Mus musculus: one gene and its partners. The protein of the gene in region 1 binds, or shares a complex with, the protein of each later gene. Links are inferred from orthologs where the notes say so. Each region holds a gene or a part of one and is shown on either strand. Other genes may lie near its edges. The genes, in order: Mapk8, Mapk8ip1, Atf2 and Dusp16.

Region 1 (7,166 bases):
ATTTTAGTTACTTCCTGATTTTTTATTAAAGAAATTGTAGTTTCTGCTTCTGTCAGCATGATACAAGAGTATTGATCCACAGCCACTCTAACCAGTAGAGTGGCTTAATTTATCATCTTTGAACATCAGATCTAGTTTTTTTCTATTTTATTAATATGGTCATACATAAATATGCTTTTTATTATTTCAGTGTACAGTGTAACAGGTTTCACTATAACATCTTCAGATATGGACATAACCTCTACATTGTTCGTGCCAACCTCCTGTTACTCTCTCATGGCCTCCCTTATTTTCTCTCTGGTCCCTTTTCACCTCCTAACCAGCCCTTGTATGTATTTGTGTCATGTATATTTATATTGTCAAACCCAGGTTCCACATTGGAAAGAAAACATGCAATATTTATCTTTCTGAGTCAAAATTATTTTATTTAACTTGATAATCTCTAGTTCTATCCATTTTTCTGGCAAATGACATAATTTCATTCTACTTTATAGCTGGCTAAAACTAATTTGCATACACATAAACCACTTGTTGTTGTTGTTGTTGTTGTTGTTGTTGTTGTTGTTAGAGACAGGATCTCAAAAAAGCTAGGTCTGCCTGGCTGGCCTGGAACTCCCTATGTAGTGCAGACTAATGCCAAACTTCCCCAGCACTGCGTGCCTCTAGAGTGCTGAGATTAAAGACTGCCACCGTACCCAACCTTACCACATTTTCTCCGTGCTTTTTTTTTTTGTTGATGGCCATCTACACTAATAGTGTATTTACTGCTGTGGATAGTACCACAATAGAAATGGGTGTGCAGATAGCTCTGCTATTGCCTGCCTTAGGTGCCTTTAATGGAATTCTGCTTTTTGGGTTTTTTTGAGGAACCAGTAATTTCTATAGTGACTATTATAATTTACATTTTTACTCTAATATGTATGAAGCTTCCTTTTTTTTCCCCCCACATCTTTACCAGCGTTTGTTACTTTTGGCTTTCTTGATAGATGGTAGCCATTTCCATTGATGTTGGATAGAATCTTGGTACTATTTTTGTGTGTCCCTGATGACATGTGGAATGTTGATATTTTTTTTCATACATTTATTATCCATTTGTATTTTTTTGATAATTTCCTGTTCGGATGAAAAATAAATTTTCTATCTATTGGTTAGGTAGTTGGTTGGTTCTTAGTATTCAGCTTTTTGATAATGCTTTTAAAGTTGTAAGAATATTGAAATAGAAGTATGTGTGTATCCCAGACTAGCATCAAACTTGTGATCTTCCTGCCTCAGTCTCCCAAGTACTAGGATTACAGGTATGTGCCATCCATGCCTGGTCTCCAGCAAAGGATACTATATAAACAAAACAAAACAGAAATACCTTGAACTTCAGGAATTACACAGATGTTTGAGAAGTTCTTTATATTTTTTCACAGAATTACTTTTATGTAATTTTTCAAAGAGTATATGACTCAAAAGTGATAGATAATGATACCAAACAAGTCAGAATCACAAGCAAGAGCATTGTGTCTTTCCGCAGGCAAATCTGTCGTGCAATGGTCTGCTGGGATCCATGAGTCCTAGGAAGGGGTGTTGATGCTGACACCTGCTGTAGGCTACTTGGAAGGATCTGAAGCTGCTGCTTCTTTTCCTTCAGTAAAAATACCCTTCTGTCCCATTCTAATTGTAAATGCTGCTTTGGTTATAAATCTTTCTAATTACAGCCTTGTTGCATTAGGACAGAACCCAGGAAGTAGAAGGAAGGTATTGACCTCAGGTCTCACTTTGACAGAATTAGACAAGGGTCTGTAAGGCAGAGTGCTGTGTGGCTGATACACTCAAGGCAGGGGCTGGTTTCTGACAACAGCTGCCCTTTAACCAGCTGGGACAATTAGAGCAGAGAGCTTAGCTTTCTATCAACATCTATCTGTGGTCGAAGATCAGTGAATTAATTGCTAACACCTATGAGTCTGAAGCTGACACTCAGATCCTCTGCCATTGCTATCATTGCAAGAACCCAGCTTGATGCACCTAACAGATAGAAGCTTTGACTTAAGGACTCATGCCTGAGAGTCACTTTTCCTCTTCTTTTTCAGAACTGATATACAAGGAGGTAATGGATTTGGAGGAACGAACTAAGAATGGAGTCATAAGAGGGCAGCCGTCTCCTTTAGGTTGGTTACAATATAAACCTGGTTGTGATTGTGCCTTGCATCTTGTGTTATAATCTTCAGAGGCCTGGAATCTGCAGTTCTTCCCATGCTCACTCAGTTTGGTAGTTAAATTTGAAAGCCATGACACACTATTGTCTTGATGCATTTGCTGATTTAAAGCCAGTTTTCATTGACACCACAGCCATGTCTTTAAATAAGAAAAAATCCCTTAGAGTTCCTTATTCTTTGCTTTGAAAAGTCTTCAGTTGGAATAGATAAAAACTTCACCACAAAATTTGCTAAATTTGCTATGTGTGCCATCACGTTCTGACGTTCTTTTTAGTACGTTAGTCACACTTGAATACAAGCTTCTGAGGACCTCTTGTCTCTCAGTGTTCTGCTCATCACTGTACAGAAGGGGGACAAGTGCGTCAGCAGAGTCCTGCCTGCTCGGCTTTAGCATCTTGGGGCCCTGAGCACTACACACTGTTTTTGTTCTGTATATGTATTTTTGAGAACTTAAGTTCTTGTACTTCTATTTAGTGAGCTTATGGCTTGAAAGTTGCTCCATCTTGTTGAGATGCTTTAACATGTTCTTCCCTCTGAATGAGGCTTCCCCCTTAAAAGGATTTCTGTCTCTCCATAGGTTTTCCTGGTTTTTGAGCTTTTTCATTTTTTAAATGCATGAAATGCTTGTTCGATACTGCTTTTTCACAGAGAAAAGCATTTTCTCTCTGTTTAGTAAGTTTGTATTTGTTTTTGCCTGGTATTTACCTGGGTCAAAGTATGCCTGAGTTTACCTACTAGGCTGTTTTGGTTACCTGGTAAGTGACACACTCTCTTGTAGACTGGCCACTTGGTTCAGGTCCCTCCTGATCAGATGCTGGTCTTTTTTTTTTTGGTTTTTCGAAACAGGGTTTCTCTGTGTAGCCCTGGCTGTCTTGGAACTCACTTTGTAGACCAGGCTGACCTCGAACTCCACCTGCCTCTGCCTCCCAAGTGCTGGGACTAAAGGTGTGTGCCACCACTGCCCGGCTTTTTTTTTTTTTTTTTTTTTTTAAGATGCTGTTCTTTTGTGTTGGCTTCTACTTTGTAAGATGGACCCAGGAGTATCACTTGAACACTGTGGTTTTTGTGAGACTATCAAAAGTAATTTTCTATACTATTTTAGTTCTCAGGCTGTTTTTAGTTACTTGGATCTTAGAGATCTTCTCTCCAACAAAATGAAGTGTAAGCAGTTTTGTATGTACTCTCAACTCTTTTGGAACACACCCTGAGGCCCATTTATGGATCTTGCTGTAGGGCCATTCTCCATGTTACTTGGATTTTAACTTCTTGTCTTAAACTAAAAATGCATTATGGAAAGGAAAACAAGTATAGGTTTCTAGACATTTTCACAATTCTCCCTTCGTAGTTTGTGTGCATAAGAGAACATTAGTGCTGGGTTCAATACGATTCAGCAACCCGTAAGCCCAGGAGAAGTCTATAGACCCTGAAGGTAGGTAGCACAGGCCAGGCAGCCCGGTCTGCAACTCTCTCTGCAACTGGTTTGCTGTTTTGTTTCTCATAGCACAGGTGCAGCAATGATCAATGGCTCTCAGCATCCATCGTCTTCGCCGTCTGTCAATGACATGTCTTCAATGTCCACAGATCCGACTTTGGCCTCGGATACAGACAGCAGTCTAGAAGCATCAGCTGGACCTCTGGGCTGCTGTAGATGACTACTTGGGCCTTGGGTGGGTGGGAGGGATGGGGAATTGGTTAGTCATTGATAGAACTGCTTTAAAAACAATTCAGTGGTCATATTTTTGAGTGATTTTTCAGAAAATGTAGAATTCATTTTGTAGTAAAGTAGTTTATTTTTTTTAATTTCAAGTGTTGTAATTTAAAACTTAAGTTGTGTTTTTAAACAGCAACAAAACTGTATTGTATTTTTGCTGTAATTAACTGTATAATGTAAACCTAATTATTTTATCATGGTTTAAATTTTGCATATTTGCTTTATCTTATGCTGCTGATTTTTTTACTGAATTTGTAAAATTTTTGTTTATCAAAGCAACTATTATGTGGTGACTTGCATATATCATGAATTATTTAAGATGTTTATAAGTTTTTTATTAGAATTTATTTCAGATGTTTGTTCATGATGCTATCCTTCAGGGTTATGTGCTTATCAATGAAATAACCCCAGAGGAATAAGGGAAAATAACCTGTAGCCAGTTATATTCAGGAATAACTACTGTAAATGATGAACGCATCAAGAAACCTCCAATATTTGCTACTTGCCAATCCCAACTTAGTTAAAACAATTGGTAGGCAACCTTACCTAAATTTTAGCAAACACCTTATCTAATGGCAGAATAACTCAGAGCATGTCTTTAAAGATGCTGGGCACATCCTTCTCCATTTTGAATCTCCTACACCAACCCAAGAAAAACTTAAACTAAGGAATGTGGTATATTCTGATCATCTGTGGCATGCTTAAAGCTTTTGATCACACAAAGTTAAGAGGACACTTCATGAATCTACATTTCCGTGGAGATCAACAGATGCTTCCCCTGTCCTGGCTACGAGCCTGCTTCTGTAGACACTGAGTTAATCTCCTCAGGCTGTAGGTCCTGGCATTGGCCACGAGCCTGGACTTTCCCTGTTGGACAGCTTCTGGCCTCTGGCCTTTCCCAGTTCCTGTTCCTTAGCGGGTCAGTCTGTTGAGCACCAGTTTGTGGTGTTTCTGGCCATTTGATTCTACCTGTAGCATTATCCTGTTTCTACTAGCTGTCAGGAGGTTCCAAAGCCTACTTAAACTTGTGTAGGTGACATTTAAATGAGCAATATGCCGTTCATCTGAAAATAGTAGCACACAGCCATATGTAGGATGTCATTTTCTAAGGACTGTTTCTTCACAGTGAGCAGAGCAGGCATAGTGGTGGTTCTTTCATCTGAGTCTTTGGTTTTTTATATCTGATTTCCAGTATGGACGTTGAGTAGTGTAAGAATGGTGCTGCTCCTGACAAGTGTGTGTTAACTGTTTACATTTTATATCTGCAGAATCCTTTCTCTGTAACTGAATTTTCCTAAGTAAAATGTCATCAAGGTCTCATTATTTCTGAAATGATGTCTATAATGCCCAGGCACCTTTGGTATTATCTGGAACAAGAGGGATTTCATGTAATGAACTGGGAAATGCATACTTCATGAGCTGCAAGGTTGTAGGAAGGAGCCCGGAGCCCCTTGGAGCTCACAATCAGCAGGAGTAAGAGCGGGCACAGCTTGGCAGATTTCTGAAAGGTTGCTTAGCAGGTTCTTTTGTTTTGGTTTTTGGATTTTTCTTCTTTTGGTTGCTTTTTAAAAACATTTAGTGTACAATTACTTTCAAGTAAGCTATTTTAAGTCTTGTTAATGTGCAATACTTAAGATTAAGATATTACCTTTTTAAACATAGCAAGTTTATCAAGATTTCTAGCGTCCCATCTTTTAGTGATTCCTTTTCTATATGTACAACATGGTGCATTTATTTTATTAGACAAGTATGAATTTGAGACTGTTACGCCTCTTGGTTCTAGAAATACAAGGTTGAAGTCAGGATTTTAGCAGAAATTGGAGCATGAGTGTGTTCTTATTTTATATTAGTTTTGCATCTAACTGGTTTTGGTTTTGCCGTGATAAAATGTGTCACTATTGCACTTACCAGCTGATATGCTGTAGTTAGTTTTCTGTGTTTGTGTTTGATTGCTGAGAAGCCATCTTCTTCATTCAGATTTCGGGTAAGTAAGGAATACTAGTTGTTTGATTGTCTCATCTGTTGTAATTGCCAGCTCCCACTTGCCAGCAATCATGTTTCAGTTAAATTTAAAAAAAAAAAAAACAACAAGCTCTCAATGCTTAATGTAAGCTGAAATACCTAACAGAGTATACCTAAAAGCAAGGTCTGTTTGTTAAACATGTGCCCAACACATTAAGATCCACTGTACACACACACACACACACACAAAACACACCACTGTGTTTAAATCTTTTAACATAAATCCTACTGGTACTTTTAGAGTCTTAAAGCATCTTAAGTATTTTTTTAAGAAATTACAAATAACATTTCTGTCTATCAGTACTTATTAAGCCACCCTATAATTTGACTTTTCAATTATATATACTTATGATACCCATTGTCTTACTGTCTAAAAGTTGTTTAGCTGAGAATTAGCATTCCACTTCATGGTTTAGGAAAGAGAGCCTTATTCTTCCTACATGTCTTCCTGGTTACAGGTCTCGTACCCACTAATACATAGTGACCATCTGTAAGATGAGCATGTTGTTGGGATTGCTTTGTTATAGAGCATCTCACTCTTTAATGCTATTTGCTAGTGGTTTTTACTGTGTCATGCCATGCTGCTGATTGCCAAATCTCAGAAGAGTGCACACCAGAAGCAAAGGCCCAGTGTGTTCACACCTGGCTAGTAAGAGAAGCAGTAGTCCCCACCAATACAGAGAAGCTGGTTGTGTACAAAGCTTGCCTGTCAGCCTTATCCCTCAGTTCTGAGCTCATCTCACTTTGTTACCCTAAGACGTGGAGGTAGAAAAGACACTTGACAGGATAGGATGAGCAGTAGGCAAGGGAAGCTGTTTCCTGAGTTACAAAAAGAACTTGGTTTACATTATTGGCCAGTTTCTGCCGCACACATGAAGACATCATCAGTGTTGCCTCAGCGCTAGCCTGCACGGCATTTTGAGATTGAAAAAAAAAACCAACAACATAGTATATTTTCAGAAATACTGTTGTAGTTTGTGAGTGTTGTTCATTAGTCACTCATTAGTGTAGAGTGGATGCATGATGCCCCATGACCCCAGTAAGTCTTACCAGTGAGTAGAATACCCAGCACCGTCTCTCACCCGTAGCCCTCTTCAGCATTGCCTCGTGGCTTGTTGCATTCTAGTGTGCATATTCTAGTGTGCATTGTGTTTCTACTGATCTCTTGGGTGTTTCCTGTGAACCACAGGAGGCACATTTGTCCTAATCGCACGAAAGAAAGATGAAAGAGA
Region 2 (7,795 bases), on another chromosome or scaffold:
CCAGAAGCCTGGGGTCAGACTCGCCTCTCCAGCTGTCTAGTACATCTGACAGGCTTCTTTTTGAGATGGCCTCAGGTTTTCTCAGCAGAGAGCTGCCTTTAGTCCAACTGTTTGTGTCCATCATTCTGACTAGAAGCATCCTATGATTGATCGGGTGAAGAAACAGGGCACCTGTGATGTCCATGTTTAGAGTTCTGGGGTGTAACCTCCCTGCTCCTTAGCCCAGGCCAAGAGGAAGGAGCCAAACCGCCTTGCTGGCGAGAAGGTAGAGTGGGCCTGAAAAACCAGTCTCAGGAGCAAAGGCTAATTCTGCGTCCAGGATTTAGTTTGCAACATCTTCAGCTGTGGGGACAATGGCCTTCTCCGCTTTTTTTGATGATGGTTCTCTTCACAAGGTATAAGTTGGCAAGATCATCTGTCCCCCCACCTCCTTGACAAGCTGGCCCATTCCCAGGCCAGCCTTCCAATGCAAGGAGCAGTCTACACCCACAGCTGAGATAGAGTGGCCTGGAGCCTTGGGGTGACTTCATGCCTCTTTTTGCCTAGCCTGAGTGGCCCTGAGGACTGTCACAGAACAGTGCCCCATGTCCTCCTCCTGGGACCTAGCATGGGGAAGAGATGGTTGCAGGCAAGAAGCACTTTACAGAGTTCCCTATTGCTGGGAAGGTTGTGTTTCTCCCACAGTTTGTTTGTGAATATTTACCTGTTTTATAAATGTCTGATCCTGTCTGAGTAAAACTGTGTTGTGTAATCTATCTTGTGGGAGGTCTGGGACCTGGGCTCCTGAGGCTGAACCTAAGTAAAGCTTTAAGGCAAGCCGTGTTGGGCTTGTTGGAGTGAGGAGTCTTATTCTCCCTTGGATAGAGGAGACTGTAAACTACTGTGGTATGCTAGCAACAAAAGTCAGCCCAAACCACACAGGGTACCAAGATCAGTTCCTGCGTGCCACCTCTCAGTAGTACTGAGTAGCCTGTTGAGATCCAGAGTACTGCGTCCATTCTTTATAATGTGCTAAGAAGGTATGTGTGCCCTCTAGACACAGTTAAGGAAGCTACTGCCAAGCCTGAGGCCTGGATGCTGGCCCTGTCTTGTACCATCTGGCCAGAATGCCGTGCACATGGGTGTTCCTGGTGCGAGAGGGGCTCATGCAAAGCCAAAGAAAATCACAGTCTGCTCTATAAACAGAAGGAGAGCTTTACTCTAGGGCACATCTCATTCCTGGCTCTGCCTCCAAGCTTCTGCTGGCCTACTTTCTACTAAGACTGGCCTCCCTCTCTGGGCTTCTCATGTAGCTTTGGCGTGGCTGGAGAAGCTGAGATACCTTTGTTCTTGAGCAGAGGTTCTATGAGAGGGAACTGTCCTACATACTCACACACTTCTGACCTCCTGGGGATGCTGCCCAGTGGAGACAAGCACACATTAACCATGCTAATCAGGCATGGCTGCTTTCCTGGGAGGGAGGGAGGGAGGGAGGGAGGGAGGGAGGGAGGGAGGAAGGTGCCTTAACAGCAGATGGTTTGGGCAGGGCCTCCTGTGAGAGGCCTGAGCCAGAGCAGAGAGTTAAAGTGACCAAACCTTTACCTCTTGAAGCATCAGTGGCAGGGAGGGGAGAGGCAGCCAAGGCCTCTGGCTTTAGGTTCTGGAGTGTTCTCAGGGCTGAAGCAGGGAGATTGAGTACTACAAGGTAGGTGCCTACGCTTCTTGCTGGAAAGGGGAAGGAGGCAATCAAGTTTGCACAGACTGTAGAACATTGGTCTGTCCTGCTCCATTTATGTGAAGGGCAGGGTCTGTGGCCAGAGGTGACCTGGCAGGGAGGCTCTCTGAGCCACCAAAAACGGGGACTCGAGTCTTGGTAAACGGTGTTGTGTGAGAAAACCCAATAGAGAACCAGGAAGAAAGCACAGCTAGACCCAGAGTGGGTGCAAGGAACAGAAGCAACCACAAAGCTCTCAAGAATCCGGCCCTGGGGATGAGGAAGGTCCTAGGCCTTAGGGTAGGAGAAGCCAGTTCAGGACTGTGTGAGTGCAAAAGGGGTGCTAGATAGAAAACGCAGTGGGAAGACAGGTGCTGAGAACTGGGCACAGGAGTTCACACTAATCCCCCAGTTTAGCAGGAGACTCAAGAAGATTGTCATCAGTTCTTAGTCAGCTGAGGCTACATGGTAACTTCCAGGACAAACTGGAAATGAAAGAAAAACAAGTGATGGGGTAGTCCTGGCATACAGAGGCTTCACAGGGCTAAGAAACCAAAAGCATCACTCAGGTTATCAGGGGTGGTCAGGGCTCAAGGGGGTCTTTGCTGAAGGAGGCAGAGGCAGGAGGATCACGAGTTGGAGGCCAGCTTGGGCTACACATTTTTAGGCCGGGCATGGTGGCGCACGCCTTTAATCCCAGCACTTGGGAGGCAGAGGCAGGCGGATTTCTGAGTTCGAGGCCAGCCTGGTCTACAGAGTGAGTTCCAGGGCTATACAGAGAAACCCTGTCTCAAAAATCAAAACAAAACTAAAGGGTGGGTCTTGATAGAGGTGGCCTTCAGAGATTTCTGCGGGAGGTGATCCCAGTGCACAGGTGGGTGTTCCCAGCTCCCAGGGACAAGTATTTCTATCGTTTTTCTTCCTCCCCATGCTCATGGAGGGCTCATATTCCATTTCACACATGGGAAAGACAAGCCTTGGAACTATGAGGTCACTAATGCAATTCTCCACTGCCTGTTCACTTGTGGAACCAAGCTGTGGTCTTAGGTCACCTGGCCCCATAGCTGACTGCTCTTGGACCCCACTCCACCACCATCTCTCCTTTCTCAGCCATCTTCTGTAACCCTTTTCCTACCCCAGTTGCTGTGGAAGGCCAAAGACGGACTTGGGGAGCAGGATCTTGCCATCCGCTGATGCCCTCGATCTAGGTCCAGCTCTGAGGAGAGCAAAGCTTTGCCAGTGCTTGGAATGTCCCTGGGATGTGTAGGGAGGCCGAGGGGACCCAGGGCCACGGGATCGAAGCGTCAGCACTTCGGAGAGCGCCGGGGCGGGGCGGGGCGGGGGCGGGGCCACAAGACCCCAGCCGGCCCGGGGGCGCGCGCGGGGCGCTCTCGCGGGGGCCGCAGGCGAAGCGGCGCGCTGTCCGGAGCCGCGCCCGCCCCAGCTCAGTCCGAACCCCGCGGCGGCGGCGGCCTCCTCCACGCGCCTCCGCTGCTGCCGCCGCCGCCGCCGCCGCCGCCTCCCGCGCCGCTCTCCGCCCGGATGGCCAGGGCTGCACCCCGGAATGGCGGAGCGAGAGAGCGGCCTGGGCGGGGGCGCCGCGTCCCCACCGGCCGCTTCCCCATTCCTGGGACTGCACATCGCGTCGCCTCCCAATTTCAGGTAAGGATCGAGGCCCGGAACCTCGGGATCCTTGGAGACCCTGAGGGCGGCGTCCTTTCCCGGCCGAGCCCCCAGCCCCCACAACCTCCAGTCCAGGTTGGTGGCCACCGCGTGGCCCCCCGCAGCTCCTTCTGCCATTCCGTGTCATGGGGTGGGGTGATTGAGGTGGATCTGGGGCAGGAACCTGGGAGGTCGCCTTTCCCCTCCACCTTGGCGGGAGTGGGTCTGGGGTTTGGATGGAATTCCCGGTGCAGCAATCCGCCCAGACTTTATCCTGCCGCGTTCAAGGTATCTAACCCAAGGTGGAAGTAGGCTAAGGGGTTGGGGGCCCAGAGGCCCCAATTCAAAACCCTTGGTCCTTTAAGAAGAGTCGTGAACCCCTCTCCCAGCTAGCTTGGCCAGATGGGTCAGATTGCTAGGCGATCTTGGACAGGGTCTTCTGAATTTGGGCAGCTCCCTGGTCAGTTGTATCTCAGGACAGGTGCAGAAGGATTGGCCTCAACCAGTGAAACCCAATTTGCTTGAGGGAGGGGAATCTGCCTGTGGATATCCAGGGATACTGTTGGGGGGTCCCCACTGTGTAAAGACTCAGGACACCGAACTGAGCTCCTCTTTGACCCACCCCTCCATCTGATGTTAGACCAGGTGAATGAATTTCAGAGATGTAAGGCATGATGTGTTGAACCGGTGACTGTCCTCTCTTCACCTTTTCACACACATACACACATACACACACACACACACACACACACACACACACACACACACACACACAGAGAGAGAGAGAGAGAGAGAGAGAGAGAGTGACGAAGAAGAGAAGGGTGTCACTGCTCCAGAATGTAGAAGCTGAGACATACCTCATTGTTTCCCCATCAGGAGCAGGCGCCTTTCTCTCTCCTGGGACCCTTGCTCCAGCCAGGCCCCAGCTGGGCTCTGGCGCCAAGTTGTCATCTATTGAAGGGGTCTCTAGCTCCCAGGTCCTCAGGTGGGCAGACACACACACACACACACACACACACACACACACAGACACACACACACACACACACACACACACACACACACACACACACACACACACGATCTTAAATGGTATGATCAGGCCCTGAATCCTCCAAGGAGGCCCTAAACCCAGCTGAGAGAACCAGAAGGAGGGGGCCAGAGGATGGTTCCAAACCTGAGGAAAGCCTCCAGGCTAATGCTTCAGATTCTCCCTGGTAGGTCAGGCCTTTGCAGGGGAAGAGAATTAGCTGCGAGGGACAGAGGTTCGAATCCTGTTTCCACTGCTTCCTCGCTGCCTGATCCAAGCTTGCTTTTGTCTTTGGTCTCATCTGTGGAGTGGGTTAATTAATATTGATTCCTGCCTGGGAAGGAGACAGTATGCACCAAGTCACTGTTCAACAGGTAGCCGGCCACACTGGCAGAAATCTGTACAGCTTGTTTCTGTCAAAGTGTTTCTCCAGGGTAGTTCACTGAACCTTCACAACCATCCTGAGGGCCCACCCTAATCTGCCCTTTGCTGAGCTGAGGCGATGGAAGATAAGGAAGGCAGAGGGGCTAGCCTAGGAACCACAGAAAAATCTGACTGGAAGGTCAGGACTGGAACCTGAAACCAGGTCTCAGCCTTCTCTGTTCCCTCTCCCTATAGGCCCTATCTCTGGCCCAGGGTAGGCTCACACCCTATTCTGGCAGGAAATTGTTTATCATACAGGCCCGAGAAGCCAAGATGAAGGCTACTAGCCAGGGAATGTGTGGCCAACTCTGGGCTATGTAGAGCGGGGGCAACAGTATAGCAAAAGGCTGAGTGAGGAGTGGGCTGGCCTGCAGGACACTGTGCCCTAGCTGTGAGACAAAGCGGGCTTTGGAGATAACACTGGGCAGTGGGGCCCTACATGGCCTACTGCCTACTTCAACAACCCCCACTGCCCTTTCTCTTGTCCTGCTTCAGCAGCCACTGGTCTGGCTCCATTTAACCCTGATCTTCGATGCCCATCTTGTGACTCTTTGGTAGGGCTGTGGGTTCAACTGTTCTTTTGTTTTGTTTTGTTTTGTTTTGTTTTGTTTTGTTTTGTTTTGTTTTGTTTTGTTTTGTTTTTCGAGATAGGGTTTCTCTGTGTAGACCTGGCTATCCTGGAACTCACTTTGTAGACCAGGCTGGCCTCAAACTCAGAAATCTGCCTGCCTCTGCCTCCTGAGTGCTGGGATTAAAGGTGTGCGCCACCACGCCCGGCTGGTTCAACTGTTCTTAAAGCTGTGTACTCCACCACTACTGCGTACTTAAGCCCTTTGGGTCCTTGTTTTTCCTTTAATTTGTCTGCCCCTAATCAGGATGGTTCTAGAACTCAGGTGTGTGTGTGTGTGTGTGTGTGTGTGTGTGTGTGTGTGTGTGTGTGTGTGTGTGTGTGATTTCTACTCTGAGCTTCTAGGATGTGTAAGCAGTCTATGTCAGTGCTCTGCTCTCCGCACGACTCAGTCCAGAACAGGTGCTCAGCAGGGCTGGTTTACTACGGATGAAGGGTGGACGCACGGGGCCGTTTCTCCTGGAGAACAGAGTAGTGGGAAGCACCGTGTTGAGAACCTCGTGGGTCCAAGCGTGTGTGCTGCTGTAACCATGTGAATGGGTTAGTACTACCACTGCTTTCAGAGAAGGAAACCAAGAAATTTCAGCTCTGCTACCAAGAGAGCGAGCCCTGGGATCCTGGGGTGCACCTTTGGAGGGGTGAGCATGTGTGGCCTTGAGAGATGGGAGCATCTGTTGGAAGCTGATTTAAATGAGTATGTGCCGGGTGGATTTCTGACTATGGAAATCTTCCATCTGGTCCCTAGTGGTATATCTATCTGCATGTAGGGTGGGGTGAGGACTTTTCCTTTTCTAATTTACCTGTTTAGGTACCATTTGGCTTCTTATTTTTGGATTAGCATGTGTGTATAAGTTACTGAGTTACTTACAGCATAGCGAAAGGATATTTTTAACTCTTCCATGTTTTTCATAAAGAAAGCTCTAGGGGAGGGGATTTAGAGCATTACACAATGGATCCGTTGACCCTGGGTGTGTGGGATGAAGGGCTGAAACAAAGGAGAGTCATCCCAAGTGGAAGGGTCAGCAGGACAAAGGAGTATTCATGGGAAGCAATATGAACAGCCTGCTGTAAGTCTATGCCCAAGAGTCCTGGAAAGGGGAGACCTCGGAGGATGTCAACTTGTCAGGGTTGGGGGATGGGTGCTAAGTGCTTGCCTGGTGTGCTGGAGGGCCTAGGTTACACTGTGGAAGAAAACAAAACAGAAACAGAAAAATGGCCCAGTAAATATCTCTTATGCAGGAACATGAAGGGGCAGTGACTTCCCCAAGAACACACAGCAAGTTAATCATAAAGTTGGGATGGAGCCAGGACCCAGATGGAAACCTGGATGATGTCAGATGACCCTACTGCGCTGCCTCCATACAAGAGGCACTCACCTCAGAGCAGAGCCTCATTTACAGCTTTACAGAGCCATAGGCATTGCTCATCAAACAAACCTTTTGCTGGGCTCATCAGGAGGAGCAGTATGCAGAGGTCCTGACATGAGTCTGACCCCAATGCAGGAAACAATGTAGAGGTAGACAGTGTCTTCCCACATAGGCCGAGTGTGGTGATCATGCAGGTACAGGTCCCACAGGGGAAAGTCAAGCAATCCTCACAGAGGGGGAAGGTTCACAGGGAAGGACAGGCTAGGGAATAGGCAAATAGGCAGGGTGACACCTGTTTGGCAGTGTGAAGGGCAGAGCTGTGCAGTGGGTGCTGTCTTGGGGTCAGACAGGGACTGCCAGCAGCTGGTGGATGGTGTGAGCTCACTCTGGCTGCTGAGCAGAGTGGATGGGGAGGCAGGGAGACTTGTGGTCGGACCATCCATCCTGCCCATTCTGCAGACAGGTGAGAAGGCATGGGATCAGGATAGGAGACGGTTAGGGGACGGGGCAGATCAGGTCTTCCCGCTGGTCTGAGGATAAAGAAGATGCAGTAGCGACAAACCAGGGTGGTGCCTGGGCTCCTGGGGACATGAGAGGGGAGTCAGGCAGCAGGGTTAGCACCTTAGTGCTTGCCAGATTTCAGATTGGTGATCTTTGCTGATGGAGCTGCTGCAGTCAAGTGAGCAGTTGGTTTTGGCAGAGAGCGTTTGGGAGGGCAGGTGGGAAGTGTTCAAACCATGGTTCTGGGAGTGTCACTGTTCAGAGGAGACTACCGTCACCTTAGGAGGAACCTAGGACATGGTGAGGATAAGATGGGGACCACCAGCCTTGCTGTGGTGAGGATAGGAAGCAGAATGACAGTTGTTGCCTCTGGCCTAGCTGGTGAGCCTGTGACATAGAGCAGAAGAGCTGGCTAGCCTGCAAGCCTCACACAGCCCAGCCATAGCCCGGGAAGGAGGTCTACCCCAGCCACCTAGCATCAGCCCTCACCT
Region 3 (7,166 bases), on another chromosome or scaffold:
TTTTTTAAAAAAAAGTCTCAGTAAGCAATCTCATCATTCTTTCCAAAGCAGAGTGTATCTACACAAATGTAGACAATGTAGCCTACTATATACTTAGTATGTTACAAGCTATTATTCCTAGATTAAACCTGTACTACTTGATACTACTATATTGACCATGTAGGTAATTATAGCACACAGGTATTTAAACATAGAAAAGGCACAATTAAAAATGCAGGCTGGGAGGATGGTTCATTGAGTAAAACTTGCTTCATAAGCCTGACAACTTGAGTTTTGATTCCCCAAAACCCACATAAGAACCAGATGCCGTAGCACTAGTGCCTGTAATCCCTTCATGCTCTTAAGGGGAGATGAAAGGAGGAGGAGGAGGAAAATCTCCAGAAATCCTAGGTCTGGTACCTAGTTTACACAGTGGCAAGAAAACTTTGTGTCAAACAAGATAGAAAGGTAAAGACTCATACCCAAAGATTGTCCTCTGGCTTCTATATGTGCATGCCTGCATCCCCACACACAAACATGTACACATACAGGTATACTCAAATCACAGAGAAAGAGAGACAGACAGACCGCCTGACTGACCACCAGTATAAACATTTATACAGGGTATACTTTAAAGGACACCAACCATGAGTAAAGCTTACAGAGTGGAGTTTTATACTTCAGGACTAAGTGAATGAGTGTCAAGTGAGTGTGAAGGCCTGGGACATGACTTTATACTGCTCTTGGCTATACACTATATGTAGACAATACTAAATGTTTCTTTTCAGTTCTTCCAGTAACAAATTAATCTGGCTTATTGTAACTTTTATAAAGTTCATTTTTTAACTTCATCTCTAATAACATTTATTTTAAATCACAAATAGATGGTATAAGAATATAATAATACTTTATTTTATCCTTATTCTATACTACTCTTTCTCCCAATATTGAGAATTGAAATTCTGGGCAGGTAGAATTCTTGGAAGCAAAGGCACATACTCCCTTTCATTAGATTTCCCAAAATCACAATTTTTAATGGTTATACTTGATTATTGCCTTAGATATATTTAATTATCCCCTTATTTCTTAACATACGGTCATTTCCACATTTATTATAGTTATTAAGGATCCTGAGAACAGCCTTATTTCCCTGCAGAGCATCCCTTTCCCTTTATATTTTCCAGTTTTCATTCTTGTGGCTAGTTTATCACCTTCTAGGGGTGCTGCTTCTGCATTCCTTAGTCATTAATTTCTTTTAGGTAGTACATAGATCCACTAAGTTGTGGAAAATCAGTTCGGGACCTCCTCTGTTCTAATTTTCTTTTTAGGGATTTCCATCAAGAATTGTAATAGAAACTATAAATTAGTAATTCCCAAATTTACATCAGCCAAGGTATCTCTCCTGATTGCTGAATACAGTTTCTCTGTTGTCATCTCCTTTACTTTGTCTAGGGAACATCTCAGTATGTCTGAAACTAAGCCCTTAATTCTGTCCTCATTTTTCTCCTCTGAGAAAATTTTCTCTACCCATGCATGGTGGTAGTATGTCCTTGTAATTCCTGCACTAGGAAGGTAGTGTCAGGAGTATTGCACATTCAAGGCTAGCCTGTACTGCTAAAACTTTCTGGGCTATGTAGCAAGACCTGCCTCTCATTTCCAATACCCTTCCTGCACCTTCCAACAAAAAAAAGAAAGGGAAATGTGCATCTATCTACTTATTTAAGCAAAGCATTTAGGTGTCACCTTTAGTTCTATATTTTCTACCTTGACTTTGAAACCAATAGCAAATCTTCATTTACCAAGCATGTTTTGAATAAGGTTCATACCACTTTTGTGTTCAGTGTAATTGTCTTAGCTGTCATCTATCAGTTGTACCACTACTACCCGGCTTCTCTCTCTCTCCCTACTCCAGTGCTGAGAATGGCATGAGAGCCCCAAGCACGCACTTAAGACTACTGAGGGTTCCCCTTCCCTCTATTTTTCTTGCAAAACACAAAGTTTCTTTATGTTTCCCAAGCTAGTTTCATATTAATAATCCTCTGTGTGAGTTTCCCCAGGTTGCTGGGACTGTATGCATGCCAACCATACCAGGCTAAATTTCCTTTCAAACCTGCTTCTATTTTTGATCTGCTTCTCTTAGTTCTAAGTGTGGGAACTTAAAAATTTATTGAGTCATTCTTCTCTGCTGAAAATCTTCTAGCAATTTGCTCTTGAAGATAATTTATATTTATTCCTTAGGAAAAGCCTCATTGATTTGACTGTCTACTCATCCATCCTCGTTTCCTGCTCTCTCTATCCATCAAATATTGTAAGGTTTTCCTGCCTAGCATTCCCCCTTCTCTATAGCCTGCCTCTTCTTGATTCTTTCAATATCAGATCAGATTTCTTTTTGCAAGGTTTTCTTCCTCACTATTACAGTGCCCAGCTCTACCTTACCCTCTGCTAAATCATTATTTATTGTAGAATGTTTAATGTCCTTTCTGGTAGGAAGTTTCTGTGATGGTTTTACTCATTGTCATTCTGCTCACTAGTTCTTGAGTTGGAAGTTTTTAGATGTGCTGAAAACTGTAGTTACAATGCTACTAATTTCTCCTTCCTAGTATCTTACTAAGACTCCAACTGAAAGTAGCTATATAAAGGCCAGTTCAAAAGGATACAATAGTTAGGGAGTTCTGGGTAAGGCCCTCATCTCTTTTGTAATCTGAAAAAATAGGAAATATTTTAACAATCATCCTGGCTGATTCATAAATTCTATTTCTCTTTAGTTTGGAAAGCTCTCAGCTCTACCTGCTAATTTTGTATGACTCACTTGGTCTTTTGATACTAGAAAATTAATGTTACCAAATGAAAAACTACCTGAGATTAGCAGACTTTTTTTTTTCTTAATTTAAAATGTCTTAAAACATTTCTGTTTGTTTGTTTGTTTTGTTTTGTTTTTTTGAGACAGAACTTCTCTGTGTAGCTTTGGCTGTCCTGGAACTTGCTCTATAGTCCAGGCTGGCCTCAAACTCAGAGATCCACCTGCCTCTGTCTCCTTGGGATCAAAGACGTGCATCACCACCACATCTGAACACCAAATTGTTTAAGTCATAGCACTATCTTGCTGGATCAGTTTCTTGATTTTGTAATACAATAAGCAAATAGGATAGGACAATCCCTTGCAGGTTTTGATTTTTGATTACTGACAGTAAATTGTATTTGTATTTCTTACTGAAATTCTCACAGAAACATTGCCAAGTAGCCCAGCCTAATTTATTTTAGAGTAATAAACACATTGAACCAAAAACACAGATTTGGGGTTTTTTTTTTTAAATTTTAAGAATTACATTTGAACTTTACAACTGCTTAGATATTTTCAATTAACTTTAGATATTAATTTACTTGTAGAGGCATTAAGTATTATCTAGTGGTTGCTTTCATAAATGTGTTACATTCTGTTCACTGGGATACATGAATTAACTTGCGTTTTTAAATACTACCCTTTATTTATCTTAAAATTAAATAGGAAGTACCATTGGCACAAACTGCACAGCCCACATCAGCTATCGTTCGTCCAGCATCATTACAGGTTCCCAATGTGCTGCTCACAAGTTCTGACTCAAGTGTAATTATTCAACAAGCAGTACCTTCACCAACCTCAAGTACTGTAATCACCCAGGCACCATCCTCTAACAGGCCAATTGTGTAAGTGATTCCAGTCACTCACTGACTGTACATGAGTTGTTAGGGTTTTTTGTTTTGTTTTGTTTTTTTATGGTTTTCCCTAGGATATTTAATTACTTGAATTAAAACGTGTGTGTGTGTGTGTGTGTGTGTGTGTGTGTGTGTGTGTGTGTGCGCGCGCGCGCTACACGAGAGAAAAAAGGAGAAAGAGATCTGTCTGTCTTGGGTTTTGGAAACTTTTAATATTTTAAAAATAATATTATCTAACACATTGGACAATAAATATCTAAATCTTAGCTAAAATAATGAAAATAGACTATAAGTTTAAGATGGTCTTACTTTTATGGTTTTTGACACAAAACAAAGCTATTCCATTTCAAGATGACATTTGTCTCAGTTCTTAAAAGTAACTCCCAAGACCTTTCTGATGAGAAATTTTCTCATTTCACAAATTGGAAATCCATGATTTTTCCCCAGGCTTTTTAAAAAAAACACTCTTACATAGATTATGCATTTAAGATGCAATTAAAAATATCTAAGTTTTGTAATTTGCCCTTTTAAGGTTAGAAAACTTATTTTTAAGCAATAGGAGGGAAAAGACTGTTACTTTGCAGAGGTGGTTGGTATGGATCTTTACATTTTTCCCTTGTTTTGTTTTTCTTAGTCCTGTACCAGGCCCATTTCCTCTTCTCTTACATCTTCCTAATGGACAAACCATGCCCGTTGCTATTCCTGCATCAATTACAAGTTCTAATGTGCATGTTCCAGCTGCAGTCCCAGTAAGTTGGAAAGTTAGACCATTTAAATTTAAGTCTTTGTATCTAAACTGGTCTGGGTAAAATAACCAGAAAATATATTTGAACTGCTTGATTGGCTTACAAAATGGAATTTATCAAGTGTTTATTAATTGGGAGTAGTATTTATTCATCATTACCTGTAATCGACTATAATATTCTAGGCAAACATAATTGGATTGAAACCTTTCTTTACCCCCAGCCCACTCTTGTTTTCTGTATTCTTATTGCATTATTTCTTGATTCACCTCACTCCAGTTTGACTAGGTTTATGAAATTCAAATATTTCTTAAGATACTTGTTTTGGAATGCTGGCAAATAGCTATGGTGTTTATAGTTATAAAAATTCTTCAAAAAACACACTTGTCCTTTATGGTTACATGAAGTTTAGTGGCCCAGGCATGTTAAAGTCCAAACATTCATATCTTGGCCTGATGACACATGCCAGGAATCCCAATAGTCAACAGATAAAGATAGGGTCAGAAGAAGGTCATAGCTAGCCTCAGCTAAATAATACATTTTAGGCCAGCCTGGGTTACTGTTGTGAGAAAATCCAAAAAAAAAAGTTTTATGAGAAACACACTAAATACTCAAATTTTGGGAAATAAAGAAAAAGTAATTAACTATATTGAGTTGTCTAGTGAACATTTAAAAACATAATGTTGGGCCAGGCGGTGGTGGCGCACGCCTTTAATCCCAGTGCTTGGGAGGCAGAGGCAGGTGGACTTCTGAGTTCAAGGCCAGCCTGGTCTACAGAGTGAGTTCCAGGATAGCCAGGGCTATACAGAGAAACCCTGTCTTGAAAAAACCAAAAAAAAAAAAAATGCTGGAGCTGTGTGGTTAAGAGCTTGCACTGTTGTTGCAGAGGACATGAGTTCAGTTCCCAGCACCCATTGCAGATGGCTCACAACTGACTATTGCTCCTGCCATAGAAGATGTGAGAACTTGGCACACATGCCCACCCATAGATAAATACATGTACACACAATTGGAAAGATTAAATTGTTATGTAAAAGCACTGTATTTGAAATGATGAAAATTTTCTTTTTCATATCATATTTCACAAAAATAGTTTTATTCATACTTTCAAATTAGTCTTCCAACATTTTACATTTTCATCCTGAAAAGAACTTTTAGATATCTAGCAAAGTTGTCTAAAACATACTATTTTCATTTTCCCTAAATTATTTATGATACATATATAATTTGAAACTTTCTTAAAGAATACTTTAAGCCTTAGTCATTCATGTAATGAATATAGTTGGAGGGTTTTGTTGTTGTTTTTTTCCCCCCCCCCGGGACTAGTGAGATGTGTCAGTGGATAAAGATACTTGTCACCAAGTTTGACAACCTTTGTTCCAGTCTCCATGTCCCACATGGCAAAAGAAGAGAACCAATGCCAGCAATTGTCCTCTGACCTCCATATGTGTGCCATGACATGTATGTGGAAACATATATGCAAAGTAAAGAAATGTAAAAATTTTATTATTACATGGATAAATAGTGTTGATTCATGTGGTATAATCCTTTAGTATATAGCTTTTTTTTTTTTTTTTTTTTTTTTTTTTTTTAAATTTATTTATTGGTTATATGTAAGTACACTGTAGCTGTCTTCAGACACTCCAGAAGAGGGTGTCAGATCTCATTACGGATGGTTGTGAGCCGCCATGTGGTTGCTGGGATTTGAACTCCGGACCTTCGGAAGAGCAGTCGGGTGCTCTTACCCACTGAGCCATCTCACCAGCCCAGTATATAGCTTTTTGAGATTATTTTTTAAAGCTTACTTGTAGCAACATTCTAAAATTTGTGGTTTGGATATGCTCCTCAACAAAATTAGTAACATATTAAGTATTAAGTTTATTTAAAAAACCTTCCAACCTACCTTCCTACCTTCCTTCCTTCCTTTCTTCCAGTTTTGAAGCAGGATCCCACTATATAGCACTGGCTGGTCTGGAACTATGTAGACCAGGCTGGCCTTGAACTCACAGAGATCCACCTGCCTCTCCACATGAGTGCTGGAATTTTTAAGTAATCTAAATGTCCAAATTATCATTGATTGAGGTATTTCCAAAATATTTTTCTTCTTTAAACAGAACCGTGTTATTCAAATTGCATTACTTAAAAGTCTTAGTGAAGACTCGGGGAAAGGTTTGCTTTCTCTTTTTTGAAGATATTTTTAAAGCAGGAAACATTCTTGCTTTGTATTTGAGATAAAATGATTATCCTTTTGAATGTGCCTGTATTAACGGCAACTTGTAATGAAAAAAAGAGATTAATTAACCTTACTCTTCTAAAGTGAAAAGCGAAAGTGGCAAACCCTGTTAAAGTATCACCTGAGGCATTATCAGGGGGCACCGGCTTCTATGTTAGTACACAGTACATTAATACATCAGTGCACATACATTTTAGAAAATTCATGTACTTATTTTAATAAATTACAGTTTGTGTTGAAATTATTTTAATTTTTATTGTCACAGATTTGGTAGTCCTTTTAATTGCAAAATTGGAATGTAAAAGATAATCTACACATTTTTGTATCAGTCACTTTGAATATTATGGGTTTATAAAAAGGAAGTTAAAGCCAGGCCAACTGACACAGGCCTCTTACCCCAGTTACTTAACAGGCTAAGACGACAAGCTAACCTGGACTACAGAGTGGGTGCAAAGCCATCCAAAATAACTTTATGAAATCCCATCTCAAAAAAACAAAAGTGGGTAGTGATAGAGCTT
Region 4 (7,166 bases), on another chromosome or scaffold:
AAGAGGCAGGCCCAATCCCAGCCCCTGTGCGCTGGCTTAAAACTAGCTGTGACTAGAGTTCCAGGAGATCTGACACTCTCTCCTGTCCTCTTCTGGCAACACAGACATATTAATATTTCACAGATACACATGTAGGCAAAATACCCATAGACATAATTTTAAAATTTTCCCCATAAAAAACAAAATTAGGTATGTTAACCCTGGTAACATTTTTCGCTTCAGGTAATTCTGATATAGTTCTTGTTGTGGTTGTGGTTCTTCTCCTTCTCCTCTCTCTCTTATTTTTTTTAGAACTTCAGTTTTCCAGAAATTTCTGTCATCAAATTGAACTTGTTCTTTAAAATGCCTCAAGATTAAAAGCTATAACAGTTCACATTAAAGTAATCATAGAGAAAATTCTTCATCCTGATACTTTCTCACTGTACCTCTGAGTATATCTAGCATAGCATTAGATTTCTAGCCCCTAAGAAGGCAGACAGTTGTGATCAATGTTCCCATTGGATGCCATGTTGATTCAGAGGCATGATCCAAGCTCCTGCTCTCTCTCCATGGTTGCTTCCTTGGCTCCTGCTCAACCCCACCCCACCCCCAAGTCCACGAATCTGTACTGAGGCAACAGAGAGACTTGATTAAAAGGATGGACTTTGGAGCCAAACTTTGAGTCCTGCCTCCCTGGTTATCAGTTAAGCGATTGTGTGTATCTAACATAAAACTCTTAAAACTCTCTTGAGCATGTTTCCTGAAAAAAAGGCTGGGTAACACACCTGCTTTGTATGAAGAGCATGAAGATTAAAGCAGACAGTCTCTAGGCAGCGAACCTTTGCAGAGTACTCAGCTCAGAGTTAGCTCTGAGGACGTGCTCACCTCTTTCTGTTTTCTGCTCCTCTCTCTGACACGCTCCTGCTGGGCTGGCCTCATCCTTTGGGCTCAAGCACTCCTCCTGAGTAGTAGGGACTCTAGGCACAGGTTACCCTCACTGACTAACGGATATTTTAAAGAGTACCACGAAGACTTTTTCCTGTCTCTCCTCAGCTGAACTGTGCTCTGACCTCCCTGGCCATCGCTTCCTTTTCAAGCCCTGACACCTCGCTCTTAGCAGGCCCTCAGTCTTCTCAGCCTTCTCCTTTGCTTTAGTTTATTGTTGTGGCAATGTTTCTGTCCCTAAACATTGCTTTGAATTCCTGTAGTACTAACTTGATGTTATTTCCAGTTTCACCATCTCTGACTTCTTATTCGTCACTCCAGAACTAGCAGAGTCTCCTTAATTTCCTACGCAAGAAGATGGCTCTTAGCCTAGCATTACCGAGAGTCATCCTACATACCACACACACACACACACACACACACACACACACACACACACACACACACACACACACATGCACACGCATGCACGCTGGCACATACACGTATGTCCCTACTTTTGCAGCCACCTCCCCTTATTTCTTCCATGGCTTGTGAGTGCCAGCTCCAGCAGACTGCCTTCTGAGCCTGCTCAGTACTGACAGGGCTCTCCTCTCATGGTTCTTTCCTCTCTACCAGGTCTTTGTGTGGGACTTCTGTTCCAAGGCATGGGCTAGCACTCAGTCTGTCAAGACCTACGTGCTAATGAGCCCGCTCTAGAATAAGCACTTTTATATTTAATTAAAGACACTTATCAGATGAATTGTGGCTATAAAAAAAACAAAACAAAAAAAAAAACTCAGTATGAACACAATACAGAAAATTGAAAGGGGAAGGAAGCCCACCATCAACGCTGTAGTGCGTATTCTGTCAGGGTTTTAAAACAGCGTTTGTCTTCTTACTTGTATGTATTAAGTAGAGGCACACACAGGCAAGCAGACATGTGACGTGGTGCATTTCTGGAGGTCAGAGGACACTTTGGAGAGTCAGGTCTCACCTGCTTGGAAGTACCGGCTCTTTGTGAGGCGTCACTGCTGCTCGGGCGGCTGGCTGTACAGCTGTCACTTTTATTTCTTTGCAACATCCTTCAAAAGTTTTAGTTTCATTGTTACTATGGTTGTGTGTACATGATACATGTGTGTGGGCACACATGTGCCACCATACATGGAGGCCAGAGGACAACTCATTCAGCTCAGACAGCAGATACTTCTGTCTGCTCAGCCTTCTTTCCATTTCTCTCTCTTTTTTTTTTTTGTTTAAATAAATTGCTTTTTAAAATATGTGCGGGGCTGGAGAGATGGCTCATCAGTTAAGAGCTCTGACTGCTCTTCCAGAGGTTCTGAGTTCAATTCCCAGCAACCACATGGTGGCTCACAACCATCTGTAATGGGATCTGATGTCCTCTTCTAGAGTATCTGAAGATAGCTACAGTGTACTCTCACATACATTAAATAAATAAATATTTTAAAATATGTGCCAGATACTATTAACTGCCTGCATAAAATATGCTAGTATTCAATACGTTGAGGACTGTGAGAACAGGACCATGTTCTTATACTTTTTTAAAAGATAATTATCATTTGAAATTTTTTTTTAGATTTATTTTTATGCCTGTATTACCTGTGTATATGTTTGGTGCCTGAGGATGTCAGACAAGATCATCAAATACATAGATCTGGAGTTACAGACAGTTGTGAGTTGTAGTGTGGGTGCTGGGAGCCAAAACTCCAGCAAGTGCTCTTAACCACTGAACCACCTCTGCAGCCTCAGATCATTACTAGCAATAATAGGAGATAAATTCAAAATTAAGAAAACTGAAGCCACGGGGTTTTAGGATGTGTGCTGGAATCGGATGTGGAACTTTTCCAGCGACAGGCGGTGCTCTGCACGCTCTTCTCCCCAGCCTTCCAGTCCTGCTTCTCATCAGGATTTGGAGCAGCTCCCAGCTTCCAGCTAGGGGCTGGGGTCCACACACACACACACTCATGCATACACACCAAGAGGACCAAAGTTGGAGAAGAGCCAAATAACAGGGACAGTATAATGTTGGGACATAAAATCAGAATTGCTTTGAGCCTTTCAGCCAATGAAAAGAGAGACAGACTACTGAGTAGAAGGTAATAATGTGGGCAGTTGATGTCAGCATACTATGAGTATGTGTAGGCTGTGTGCTTTGTGTGTTAGCCTGCCCTGTGTGTCAGTGTGGATTGTGTTCACTCTTTCCTGTTTGGCTCCCTTGTCTAACAGAAATGCTGCTTGCTGATTACTCTTAAATTATTTAGTATGCAATGAGTAATAAACTACATTTACTAGAAGTCTGTATCACAGGCTGCGAGGTTGGAGCAGCTCTGTATTGTTCAGTATGCAGTGCAGGTTCCTTGTATTCTGATAATTTTTAAGAATGTTAACCTTGTCTGGTGGTAGTCCACACATTATTCCCAGCACTCGGGAGGCAGAGGCAGGTGAATGTCTTGAGTTTGAGGCCAGTTTGATCTACAGAGTGAATTCCAGGACAGCCAGGGCTACCCTGAGAAACCCTGTTTGGAAAAACAAAAGACAAAACCAAAATGATCTTAACCTGAGTTTTGACTATAACACAAATGAAAAGGATAGATTTGGCTCCATGACAACAACTTTAAGCTGGGCACATGTGTCGTAGTTGAGGGTAGAGTCTGTCGTGGACTTGCTTACAATGGTGTTGCTTGTAGGCTGTCTGGGCTGTCATCTGCTCCTCCATGTGCGCGCTGAAGCTCCTCAGCAGCAGAGAGGGCAGCGCCCCCTGGATCTCCCTGGCTTGCTCCTAATGGTGTCCACAAGTCTCAAACTCTTGCTTCCTATTAGAGAACTCTGCTCTAGCATGGACATGTTTTCGAGTTAAGCAAATAGCTGGGCAGACAGTCAGCCTTTAGGTGCTTCCTGTCCAAGCGTGAGGACCGGAGTTTGATTCCCAGAATTCATGTAAAAATGATGGGTTTGGTGGTGCTCGCTTGTAATCCAGTACTGGGGAGGCAGAGACAGGAGGCTGCCCCAGCCCACTACCTTAGTCTACTTGGTGAGCTCCAAGCTCGTGAGGCACTTTGTCATACCTGGGGAGTGACAACCGAGGTAGACCTCTGGCTTCCCTCTACTTGCATTCTTACACATGCATTACATGGCAAAAAAAAAAAAAAATTGAAATAAGAGCCCAGCAATCTGAGGTAGTAACCCATTCATTGCTTATTAATAATCCCTTTAAACCTTAATGGCTCATGATATGTTACTAGTGAGAGAACTACCCTTCCCCTTCCCCCTGTAAACAATAAAGGATAACTAGGAGGCTATGTAGGTAAGATCTGCTTTGAAGTTTCAGGTGAAGACACCGACAGTAACACTCAGAGTAATGGCCAGTGCAAGATTCCCTTGCTGAAAAAATCCCTAGTGACTTTTCTTAAATTTGCTCCCACAGAGAAAGCAAAAGCCTCCAATGGCTGTGTGCTTATCCACTGCTTAGCTGGGATCTCTCGCTCCGCCACTATTGCTATTGCCTACATCATGAAGAGGATGGACATGTCTCTAGATGAGGCTTACAGGTAAGGACAGGAGCACGGCTTATGGGACTTGCTTTCATTTTCCCTGAAACAGAAAGAGGTAGGAAGGTGGGTGACCAGACGAACGTAGACAAAGCTGATTTTGGTCACACACATCACAGGTTCCTGGTGACTCATGGCCTTGCAGAGACTGAGGAAGAGTTGGCTCTGCTTAGCTTTCATTCTTCTAACATGTGGAGTCCCTCCTCGGCTCTTTTTAGTAACAGACCAGGAAAGCTTATCCTTTCCCTCAATAGAGAAGCATGACCTTTTCTGATTGACAAGGCCACAGAGGCTGCTCTGCTGGACTGGACTGCAGAGATGGAAAAGCCAGGTACACTCGTGGATAAAATCTGAGGAAAACTGCCGTCCTGTCTAGTTGGCCAGATTTTACAGGTAGTAGTTTTGCCTAGGCTGCCCTCTCCTTCTATCTCAGGAAAGGACAAAAAGTGGCAGGATTGCTGAGGACTTGTGTCTTCTTTGGTGACAAATGAGACTGAGTTCTCTCTTATGCCTCTGTTGTATGCTCTGTTGACAAGAAGTGGTTGTGTCACATAAGAAAAAGAATAAGAATATAGATGCATGCACCATGTTAGCTTCTTTTGATATTTGAGTTTCTCAGAATGTAAATTCTGGAACAATGACACGAGCTGCTTAGGCAGTCTGTCTTCCTGGGTGCCGGGAGGGGTAGGTAGATCGGTCCTCTTTGTACAATGCTTCTCTCCAATTAGGCTATGTCCCTGTGTCCTTCTGCTTAGGTTGAAGTCAGGTGGGAAGGCTCACATTCTTATATCCCATTACAGTTTTACTGTGTGAGTTTTCAAGATGGATTTAGACACTCATTAGTCCAAGGTTTGAATCCCGCTTCATTGTTGAGTGAACTTAAGGACTTTGCGCCTGATATAGATGAAGCAGGTTAAGGACTGAGTAATTCAGTCCAGCAGCACAGTGCTTAGCATCCAGAGGTCACTTTGTAACGGATTTTTCTAACATTGTGAATATAAAAAGAAATCCAGAACTGGGTGCTCTGACACTGTGCCATCTGGTGCCATCCGTCTCCTTATGGGAAGTCTTGAGATGTGAGTGAGTATGGACGTTGGAGAGGGAATCCTGGGATGCTGAAGCTGATGAGGGGCTTAGCCTTGCTGTGCTGCTGGGTGTGGCAGGGAGCAGGGCATTTCCTGGGTTCAGCAGAATCCTCTTATCAACTGCACAGGAAGCCTTGGCTTCTTGGAAACAAGGAGCCTAGAGAATCCCCTCTAGCGGGCACCCACCATGCCACAGCACCCTGATAAGGTGTTCTCCACCTCAGTGCTGGAATTGTACGTGAGTTCTCTTCCAGCACCCTGAGAAGGTGGAGTAGTGTCCCGTCCCACGTTCTCTTACTAGCTTCAAGACAAAGTGCAGTTGTAAAACTCAGGGGTTTTGCTTTGTCCTCTCTATAGATTTGTGAAAGAAAAAAGACCTACTATATCTCCGAATTTTAATTTTATGGGCCAACTCATGGACTATGAGAAGACGATTAATAACCAGACTGGAATGTCAGGGCCAAAGAGCAAACTGAAGCTGCTGCACCTAGACAAACCCAGTGAGCCCGTGCCTGCAGCCTCAGAGGGCGGATGGAAGAGTGCACTGTCTCTCAGTCCACCCTGTGCCAACTCGACCTCGGAGGCATCAGGGCAAAGGCTTGTGCATCCTGCAAGTGTGCCCAGCTTACAGCCGTCACTCTTAGAGGACAGTCCGCTGGTACAGGCGCTCAGTGGGCTCCAGCTGTCCTCAGAGAAGCTGGAAGACAGCACTAAGCTCAAGCGTTCCTTCTCTCTCGATATCAAATCTGTTTCATATTCAGCCAGTATGGCCGCGTCCCTACACGGCTTCTCGTCAGAGGAGGCTTTAGACTACTACAAACCTTCTGCCACACTGGATGGGACCAACAAGCTCTGCCAGTTCTCCCCCGTTCAGGAGGTATCAGAACAGAGTCCAGAGACCAGCCCGGATAAGGAGGAGGCCCACATCCCCAAGCAGCCCCAACCTCCCAGGCCTTCTGAGAGCCAGGTCACACGCTTGCACTCAGTGAGAACCGGCAGTAGTGGGTCCACCCAGAGGCCCTTCTTCTCGCCACTGCATCGGAGCGGGAGTGTAGAGGACAATTACCATACCAACTTCCTTTTTGGCCTTTCCACCAGCCAGCAACACCTCACCAAGTCTGCAGGGCTTGGCCTCAAGGGCTGGCACTCAGATATTCTGGCTCCCCAGTCCTCTGCCCCCTCCCTGACCAGCAGTTGGTATTTTGCTACGGAGCCTTCACACTTGTACTCTGCTTCAGCCATCTATGGAGGCAACAGCAGTTACTCTGCCTACAGCTGTGGCCAGCTGCCCACTTGCAGTGACCAAATCTATTCTGTTCGTAGGCGGCAGAAGCCTACTGACAGAGCTGACTCGAGGCGGAGCTGGCATGAAGAGAGCCCCTTTGAAAAGCAGTTTAAACGCAGAAGCTGCCAAATGGAATTTGGAGAGAGCATTATGTCGGAGAACAGGTCCAGGGAGGAGCTGGGCAAGGTGGGCAGCCAGTCCAGCTTCTCCGGCAGCATGGAGATCATCGAGGTCTCTTGAGAAGACCTCGTCGCTTCTGTTGACAGTTTTGTTTCCTGTTCACAAAAAATAGTCCCTGTAAATCTGAAATATGTATATGTACAT

Evidence for each region.
Region 2: the proteins of Mapk8 (region 1) and Mapk8ip1 are in contact, whole or in part, in a crystal structure (PDB 3VUM), measured with the Homo sapiens proteins. The link is inferred for Mus musculus from reciprocal best matches to the Homo sapiens genes MAPK8 and MAPK8IP1. Residues at the interface, in NP_001310257.1 of Homo sapiens: Lys83, Asp112, Ala113, Gln117, Val118, Met121, Leu123, Glu126, Arg127, Tyr130, Tyr133, Val159, Lys160, Ser161, Asp162, His286, Val323, Trp324, Asp326, Glu329; in NP_005447.1 of Homo sapiens: Arg157, Pro158, Lys159, Arg160, Pro161, Thr162, Thr163, Leu164, Asn165, Leu166.
Region 3: the proteins of Mapk8 (region 1) and Atf2 are in contact, whole or in part, in a crystal structure (PDB 6ZR5), measured with the Homo sapiens proteins. The link is inferred for Mus musculus from reciprocal best matches to the Homo sapiens genes MAPK8 and ATF2. Residues at the interface, in NP_001310257.1 of Homo sapiens: Asp112, Ala113, Gln117, Val118, Met121, Glu126, Arg127, Tyr130, Leu131, Tyr133, Val159, Lys160, Ser161, Asp162, Cys163, Val323, Trp324, Asp326, Ser328, Glu329; in NP_001243019.1 of Homo sapiens: Phe36, Val44, Lys48, Met51, Thr52, Leu53, Lys54, Phe55, Gly56, Pro57.
Region 4: the proteins of Mapk8 (region 1) and Dusp16 are in contact, whole or in part, in a crystal structure (PDB 4YR8), measured with the Homo sapiens proteins. The link is inferred for Mus musculus from reciprocal best matches to the Homo sapiens genes MAPK8 and DUSP16. Residues at the interface, in NP_001310257.1 of Homo sapiens: Arg189, Val196, Ile197, Leu198, Gly199, Asp229, Ile231, Trp234, Gln253, Thr255, Val256, Thr258, Tyr259, Val260, Asn262, Arg263; in NP_085143.1 of Homo sapiens: Phe215, Leu267, Asp268, Tyr271, Lys275, Pro279, Ile281, Ser282, Pro283, Asn284, Phe285, Asn286, Leu288, Gly289, Gln290, Leu292, Asp293.

What each region holds. Positions count from the first base shown.
Region 1 is NC_000080.6:33,378,861-33,386,026, reverse strand, and holds part of Mapk8 (mitogen-activated protein kinase 8), read left to right. Parts: intron 1-2,075; coding exon 2,076-2,153; intron 2,154-3,702; coding exon of another isoform or gene 3,703-3,707; coding exon 3,708-3,853; 3' UTR 3,854-7,166. UniProt on the Homo sapiens protein: Serine/threonine-protein kinase involved in various processes such as cell proliferation, differentiation, migration, transformation and programmed cell death.
Region 2 is NC_000068.7:92,396,589-92,404,383, reverse strand, and holds the start of Mapk8ip1 (C-Jun-amino-terminal kinase-interacting protein 1), read left to right. Parts: upstream 1-3,120; 5' UTR 3,121-3,257; coding exon 3,258-3,355; intron 3,356-7,795. UniProt on the Homo sapiens protein: The JNK-interacting protein (JIP) group of scaffold proteins selectively mediates JNK signaling by aggregating specific components of the MAPK cascade to form a functional JNK signaling module. Required for JNK activation in response to excitotoxic stress.
Region 3 is NC_000068.7:73,842,694-73,849,859, reverse strand, and holds part of Atf2 (cyclic AMP-dependent transcription factor ATF-2), read left to right. Parts: intron 1-3,484; coding exon 3,485-3,663; intron 3,664-4,306; coding exon 4,307-4,421; intron 4,422-5,283; coding exon of another isoform or gene 5,284-5,291; intron 5,292-7,166. UniProt on the Homo sapiens protein: Transcriptional activator which regulates the transcription of various genes, including those involved in anti-apoptosis, cell growth, and DNA damage response.
Region 4 is NC_000072.6:134,717,800-134,724,965, reverse strand, and holds part of Dusp16 (dual specificity protein phosphatase 16), read left to right. Parts: intron 1-4,348; coding exon 4,349-4,472; intron 4,473-5,914; coding exon 5,915-7,082; 3' UTR 7,083-7,166. UniProt on the Homo sapiens protein: Dual specificity protein phosphatase involved in the inactivation of MAP kinases. Dephosphorylates MAPK10 bound to ARRB2.